Linked DNA regions of Sus scrofa. The protein of the gene in region 1 purifies or fractionates together with the protein of each later gene. This does not show direct contact. Links are inferred from orthologs where the notes say so. Each region holds a gene or a part of one and is shown on either strand. Other genes may lie near its edges.

What was found. Proteins that work in one complex are often made in the same cells at the same time.
Region 2: the proteins of SNRNP200 (region 1) and DDX23 purify together in Homo sapiens (affinity purification with mass spectrometry; 3 studies listed by BioGRID and IntAct, counting the BioPlex papers as one, with this or other methods). This does not show direct contact. The link is inferred for Sus scrofa from reciprocal best matches to the Homo sapiens genes SNRNP200 and DDX23.

The regions. Positions count from the first base shown.
Region 1 is NC_010445.4:46,935,563-46,939,073, forward strand, and holds part of SNRNP200 (U5 small nuclear ribonucleoprotein 200 kDa helicase), read left to right. Parts: intron 1-2,013; coding exon 2,014-2,112; intron 2,113-2,476; coding exon 2,477-2,629; intron 2,630-2,734; coding exon 2,735-2,834; intron 2,835-3,010; coding exon 3,011-3,147; intron 3,148-3,511. UniProt on the Homo sapiens protein: Catalyzes the ATP-dependent unwinding of U4/U6 RNA duplices, an essential step in the assembly of a catalytically active spliceosome. Plays a role in pre-mRNA splicing as a core component of precatalytic, catalytic and postcatalytic spliceosomal complexes.
Region 2 is NC_010447.5:14,906,933-14,911,014, reverse strand, and holds the start of DDX23 (probable ATP-dependent RNA helicase DDX23), read left to right. Parts: upstream 1-1,273; 5' UTR 1,274-1,411; intron 1,412-4,082. UniProt on the Homo sapiens protein: Involved in pre-mRNA splicing and its phosphorylated form (by SRPK2) is required for spliceosomal B complex formation.

The sequences.
Region 1 (3,511 bases):
AATACAAATCATTATAAAAAAAAAACAAAGAATTTTTAGATGTAACAAATAGGAGCAAGCGGAGCACTTGAAAAAACATGTCAAGTTTTTTTTGTTTGTTTGTTTGTTTGTTTTTTGCTTTTTAGGGCTGAACCAACAGCATATGAAGTTCCCAGGCTAGGGGTCGAAATCAGAACTACAGCCTGCTGGCCTATACTGCAGCCACAGCAACTTGGGATCCAAACTGCGTCTGAGACCTACACCACAGCTCACAGCAATGCCGGATCCCCCACCCACTGATCAAGGCCAGGGATTGAACCAGCATCTTCGTGAATCCTAGTCAGGTTCATTATTACTGAGCCACGACGGGAACTCCGAAAAAATGTGCAAAATTGCCTAGAGTTCTCAATGGATGTTTGGCTCCTGAAAGATAAAAATGTCAGCTTCAGAATATCATAAACTGGGACAGGAAGAATGGGTTGCACAGGAGAGTCAGAGGAAAGAGCACCAAACTGGGAGCCAGGGGGGCTGAATTTTGGTCTTGTATTGGGCAGGCCTTTTTTTCCCCCACATCTGCGACATTTGGAAGTTCCTGGGCCAGGGATCAAATCTGAGCTGCAGCTTCGACGTACACCACGGCTGCAGCAATGTCAGGCAGGTCTTTTTGCCATTTCTTGGGCTGCTCCCTCAGTATATGGAGGTTCCCAGGCTAGGGGTATAATCGGAACTATAGCTGCCAGCCTATGCCAGAGCCACAGCAACGCAGGATCCGAGCCGCGTCTGCAACCTACACCACAGCTCACAGCAATGCCGGATCATTAACCCACTGAGCAAGGGCAGGGACCGAACCCGCAACCTCATGGTTCCTAGTCGGATTCGTTAACCACTGCGCCACGACGGGAACTCCCAGGCAGGTCTTTTTGTGTCTGTTTCCATCTGTCAAGTGAGGTGATTGAATATAGGTGACTGCTGGAGTTTCTGTCATGGCTCAGCGGAAATGAGTCTTTCATCTATGAGGACGCAGGTTTGATCCTTGGCCTCACTCAGTGGGTAAAGGAGCTGGTGTTGCCGTGAGCTGTGGTGTAGGTTGCAGACTTGGCTCGGATCTAGTGTTGCTGTGGCTGTGGTATAGGCCGGCGGCTATAGCTCCTATTTGACTCCTAACCTGGGAGCCTCCTTAAGCTGTGGGTGCAGCCCTAAAAAGACAAAAAGAAAAATAGGTGACTGTTGAACCCTTCCCTGCAATAGAGTTGGTTTATTAGGGGTTTATGATTTTAAGTAGCAACAGACTAAAAGAAAACTTTGCTTGTAGCATTCATTTATTGAACAAATACTAATTATTTTCTTGTTTTAGGAGGGTAGGACATTCAACAGTTGATAGCTTGATTTATAACTTTGAAATATTTAGATGTGTGCTATGAGAGCATGCTCTTTATTAAGGACCTACTTTTAATGTGGCGCCGTGCTCAGTATGCAGTACAATGTGAGCCGGCTTGTGAGTAAGGGCAGTAGTGATCCAGCCAAGTGTGTTCTCTACATTTCAGGATTACTGTGTGCTATCCCAAGTGTGCTTTTTTTCTTTCCTTCTTTCCTTCCTTCCTTCCTTCCTCCCTCCCTCCCTCTCTTTCTTTCTTTGTTTTGTCTTTTTACGGTTGCACCCTCGGCAAATGGGAGGTTCCCAGGCTAGGGGTTGAATCAGAGCTGCAGCTCTTGGCCTACACCACAGCCAACTGCAGGGCCGAATCCTTAACCCACTGAGTGAGGCCAGGGATCAAACCTGCATCCCCATGGATCCTAGTTGGGTTTGTTAACCACTGAGCCATGAAGGGAACTCCCCCAAGTGTGCTTCTTCTAGGTCTTTCTGCTACATGTACTCTGGAATGAGGCTGACTCTGATTCCCATAGGCTGTTGGTTCCACTGCAGAGCCTTTGCTCTAACCGTGGAGCTTATTTTAAGTGACTCAAGGGAGAGGTTCTATGGTGATGCCAGGATCAGCTCCAGATCATGAGTTGGGGTTGGGGCCCTTTCTGCAGGAAGGCGATGAAGATGTGTATGGAGAGGTTCGAGAAGAGGCGTCTGACGATGACATGGAAGGGGACGAGGCGGTGGTGCGTTGCACCCTCTCGGCGAATGTGAGTACAGCTTGCTCTTGCCAGCTGCTGCAGGGCAGGTTATTTCTGGGTGCAGCATTTCTTTCCCAGACATAGGTCCTGTTAACATAGTAGCTACTGAGCTACCTTTTTATAGGGTGAGCTGTAATAAATGCCTAGTGTCTTGATTTCTGTGAACTTTCAGTTGTTGCCCTCCTTCCCAAAGGCATGTGTTAATGAAATCTTAGTTTGGGGTACTCGTGAACTCAGTATAGCAGAATCTCCCCCCTCCACCCCCCCATGGCTATGGGTGGCCCTCAGAACTCAGTTGTATGATGATGAGACAGCACTTGGGGCAGAGGGAGGCACTGTGAGCTGGTGAGCTCAGTGCCTGGTCACTTTGTAGCTCGTGGCCTCAGGGGAACTGATGAGTTCCAAGAAGAAGGATTTGCACCCTCGGGATATCGATGCCTTTTGGCTACAGCGGCAGCTCAGTCGCTTCTATGATGATGCCATTGTGTCGCAGAAGAAGGCAGATGAAGTGTTGGAAATTTTGAAGGTATGGTCGGGATAATGTTTCTGTGTTCAGTGTATCTTAGCAGATGGAACAGTGTGGAAAGCAAATGGCTGTGTTCTTAATCATGGTGTTACCTTCTCTGTGCAGACGGCCAGTGACGATCGGGAATGTGAGAACCAGTTGGTTCTGCTCCTTGGCTTCAACACTTTTGATTTTATTAAGGTCTTGAGGCAGCACAGGATGATGAGTGAGTACATGAAGGACCCTTCTGTGGTGTATACATGCATGCGTGATGGTGGTTGTGTTGTTTTCACAGCCTTGCCACTTGTTTCATTTATTTTTCTTTCTGCCCCAAGGTTGAAGGTTGATTTTTATCTCATTCCCTCCTTCTCATCTTCCCTTTCTTCCTTTTGCTGTTGGCAGTCTTATACTGTACCTTGCTGGCCAGTGCACAGAGTGAGGCTGAAAAGGAAAGGATCATGGGCAAGATGGAAGCCGACCCGGAGCTGTCCAAGTTCCTCTACCAGCTCCATGAAACGGAGAAGGAGGACCTGATCCGGGTGAGGGCTGGCTTGGTTTGTCTGATTCCTAAACTAGAGTGTTTGCTTTGGGAAAGAGACATTAGAAGATGGCAGCATATGGAGTTCCCGTTGTGGTGCAGTGGTTAAGAATCCGACTAGGAACCATGAGGTTGTGGGTTCGATCCCTGGCCTTGCTCAGTGGGTTAAGGATCCAGCGTTGCCGTGAGCTGTGGTGTAGGTCACGGACGTGGCTCGGATCCTGTGTTGCTGTGGCTCTGGCGTAGGCTGGGCAGCTACAGCTCCGATTGGACCCTTAGCCTTGGACCCTCCATGTGCCGTGGGAGCAGTCCTAGAAAAGGCAAAGAGACAAAAAAAAAAAAAAAAGATGGAAGATGGCAGTATA
Region 2 (4,082 bases), on another chromosome or scaffold:
CCCCAAAGCTTTGCTTCAGTAGAACTGAACACATATTCGGAGAGAAAAACTAGATGTGAGAAGTTCCCCTGTGGCAGAGAAGATTGAAGATCCTGCGTTACTGCAGCTATGACTCAGGTTGCAGCTGTGGTGCTAGTTCCACCCCTGGCCTGGGAACTTCCACATGCCCTGAGTGCGGCCAAAATCAAAACAAACAGACAAAGAACAATAACAAAAATACACAAAAAAAGACCTAGAGCCATGTGGGATTGAAACCAAAAAGCTAATGAGGGGAAAAAGGAAGGAAGGAGGCAGCATTAGTTACTTCCTGGTGTCTATCTAAACTTTTCTAGAAGTTGGAAAGATTTTTGTTTTTGTTGGCGGGGAGAAGGGGCTGAACTATGAAGCATAAGATTACAGAGAAACAAAGTGAAAGTACAATTTGGGGTAAAAACAAAACAAAAAAACCTCAAAACACCTCATTGGAGGGCTGAAGATAGGGAAGGAGGAAGAAGAAAGAAGAAAAATTACGGGAGTTCCCATTGTGGCGCGGCAGGTTAAAAACCAAAGTGTCTGTGAGGATGTGGGTTGGATCCCTGGCCTCTCTCAGTGGGTTAAGGATCAAAAACTGGCCAGATTCCAAAGAGCAAGAAAGTGAGGAAGGCAGGTCCTATCTGCAATGTTGAGAAAACCAGGTGCCACAGTCCCAGAGCTACCATCCTTCCAGGCGGTCTTTGTAACCCCTGTGTGGGCTCACTTTGAGTTGTCATAATAACTAGGGCGTTACCACGGGGCTAGGATCACTAAAATGTCCTCCTACACCTGGGACAGTCTTCCACAATGAACTGTCCCTCCCTCCCTGGAAATAGTAGCCTGCTCCTGTAACTTAACTTTTGGTTTGTCTACCTGTAAAATGGGGGTAGTCACCTATCTCACAGATTTTTGGTAAAAATGCTTTCCCACAAACAGTAAAGTATTTGATGTTGTTACTATAGTTGCTACTACAATTACGTGCTATTGATATCTAAGGAAGGCCTTAAGTTCCTCCGTTGTAAGCCACAAGCCATGATAATCCTTAAAGGCAGCTGCTAGGAAAGCCAGCCTATTCTAATAGGACTGCGCCCACGGAGAGAACAATTTTCTGAGGAGAGCCGACCCAGGAAAAACTCTTCCTCCCTTCCTCCCGCAGACTCAAGTGTTTCGAGAACCACATTGCCCAGAGGCCCCGGTGGTCCAGGGCCGGCTCTCGCGCCGTGCACTCTGGGATTGGTAGTTCTCTGGCCTCGTTGTCAGCCGGCGCACCCCAGCACCAGGAACTCGTCTTCCCAGCTTGCCGCGCGGCCGGGCGAGCAGCCTGGCGACCAGGAAACGGGAAAGATGGCGGCTGTTCGGCGACGTTGAGGCCGCGTTGGGCGGTTCGAACTGAAGAGTGGTAAGTCTCGGGCGGTGGAAGCGATTCCCACGAGCTTGCACAGAGGGCGAGGGTGAGGGCACGGCAGTGGCCCCTGCCTCCGGGGCGAGGCGGGGAAGAACGCCTCAGGGAAGGGGCATGAGGTTGGAAAGCTCTGCCGAGGGGGAGCGGAGGGGCGCGGGCCCCAGGGGGAGTGTTGGTTCCTGGGGGCACAGGGCAGCTTCCTGGACGTGGTTACGCCCGGACCTTTGCCGGTGGGCACAACCCTGTGGTACCCCCAGCCCGACCTTATTCCTTCATGTTTCGAGTAGCCCTTGCTCCAACCAAATTGGAACTCTGGCTTTTCTCCCAGAACCAGTCATGCTTTCCCGCCTCTGCGCCTCCTGTGTTATTTCTTTTGCCGGGAAGGGCTTCTTTCCGGCACCTTCAATTACACATCTTCAAATTCTACCTATATTTAAATGCTCGAGCCACTTCCTCTAGAGATCTTTCCAAATTTCCCACTTACAAATGAAAGGAAACTTCTTTGAACTCCTGTAATAATTCATCTGAGCCTTCATCTTGGTATGTGGCTCATACCTTCTGTTGTTCTGTAAGCTTCTCGTGGACAGGATCTTCCTGATTTCCTTTCGTAACTCACACAGTGCCTAGCACGGTGCCTGGCATATAGTGGATGTTTGGTAAGTACACACTTCATTGACTGGGAAAAAAAAGACTCTGCCCCTGCCCTGCAAGAGTAGAGGAACTCAAAGATCTGGAGGTTAGCGGTACCTGTAATAAAACTTGCCTGCGTTTCTTGTCTTCTTATTCTCACTTCTAACTCTTCTAAACTCACTCCACTCAGGCTTCTACTCCCTCCATGCCACCGAAACAGCTCTTGTCAAAGGTCACCAACCATCTCTGCTTTTCTAAATGTAAGGGTCACTCCTTCATCTCTTAGTCTTTCTCCACTTGATGCAGATAACCACTCCCTCACTGAAACACACTTTTGGCTTCTGTGACGCCATACTTTACTAATTTTTCTTTTTCTCATTAGTTGTTGTTTCTGTTTTTTTAAATTTTAATTCTTATTTTTTTTTGTCTTTTTGCCTTTTCTAGGGCTGCTCCTGCAGCATATGGAGGTTCCCAGGCTAGGGATCTAATCGGAGCTGTAGCTGCCCACCTACACCACAGCCACAGCAACACGGGATCCGAGCCACATCTGTGACCTACACCACAGCTCACGGCAGCGCTGGATCCTTAACCCACTGGGCAAGGCCAGGAATCAAACCCGCAACCTCATGGTTCCTAGTCGGATTCGTTAACCACTGCGCCACGACGGAAACTCCTATTAGTTGTTGTTTCTTAACAGTTTTTTTCCTCTGGCTCCTCCTGTGCCTGGCCTCTAAATGTAGTGTTCCAGAGCTTGATTCTGGGTCCTCTTCTATAACTAGAATGCTTACTTAGGTCATGTTATTTAGCGTCCAATGGTTTTAAACGCCATCTATGTATTGATAACTCAAATCATTGTCTCCACACTGCCTCCTGAGTTCCAGAACTGCATTTTCACCTGCTTTCCTGGAATCTCCACTTGGTTTTCTTACTGACATCTTACAGTCAACATGGTCAAAATGAAACTTTTGACTTCTTCCTAAATCTTTTTTTTCCCCCCAGTCTGCTCTGGTCACTAATGGCACCGCAAACCACTTATGTTAGTCAAACCACATATTTAGGAGCTCTCTTTTTGTGTCCTCGCTTCATCAGTAAGTCCTGTCAGCTCTGCCTTCAAAATATGCCCTGAAGCAGTCTCCTTCTTTTCATTTCCATTGCCACTTTTCTAGAACAAGCTGCTGTCATCTCCTGTCTGTGCTACTATAATAACATTCTCAGTTGTTCTGTGTCTTCGCATGCCTCTCTACTGTATATTTTCTCGTAAGGCACCAAAGTAGTGGTGAAAGTATTCAAAGTAATCAAAATGAAAAATAAGTTCATACCACCTCCTGTTTGACAACTTTCTAAGTTTCCCACTGCAGTAAGATTAAAATCCAAGTTCCCTTATTCTGGCCCAGAACACACTTCCAGGATCTGACTCCTGCCTACCTCCCTGAACTTATCTTGAATCGTTCTTCCCCCAAGTTACTGCCTCACTGCCCCTGAGCCGCACAAGTCTACTTTTTTTTTTTTTCCTTTTTACAGCTACACCTGCAGCATATGGAAGTTCCCAGGCCCGAAGTCAAATCAGAGCTGCAGCTGCAGGCCTGTGCTACAGCCACAGCAACACTGGATCCAAGCCACATCTGCGACCTTTGTCACAGCTTGCAGCAATGCCAGATCCTTAACCCACTGAACAAAGCCAGCGCTCAAACCCACATCCTCACAGAGACAATGTTGGGTTCTTAACCCACTGAGACACAATAGGAACTCCCCTTAGGCAATTTTGGGGTAAAATGGGTTGTCTCACCTTTTGAAAGTGCTACTTGTTAATTTTTCTTTTCTTTACCTACTCTACCTTCTTAAAGATATATGGCAGGGATCACATGGGAATTGTAAGCTAAAGTTTAGGGAACTGATATTTCATCTGAACCATTTGGACATAAAATAAGTTCGTTTTTTAAAAAATTTTATTGAGGAGTTCCCTTTGCGGCTCAATGGAAATGAGCCTGCCTAGTATCCATGAGGATGCAGGTTCGATCCCTGACCTCGCTCTGTAGGT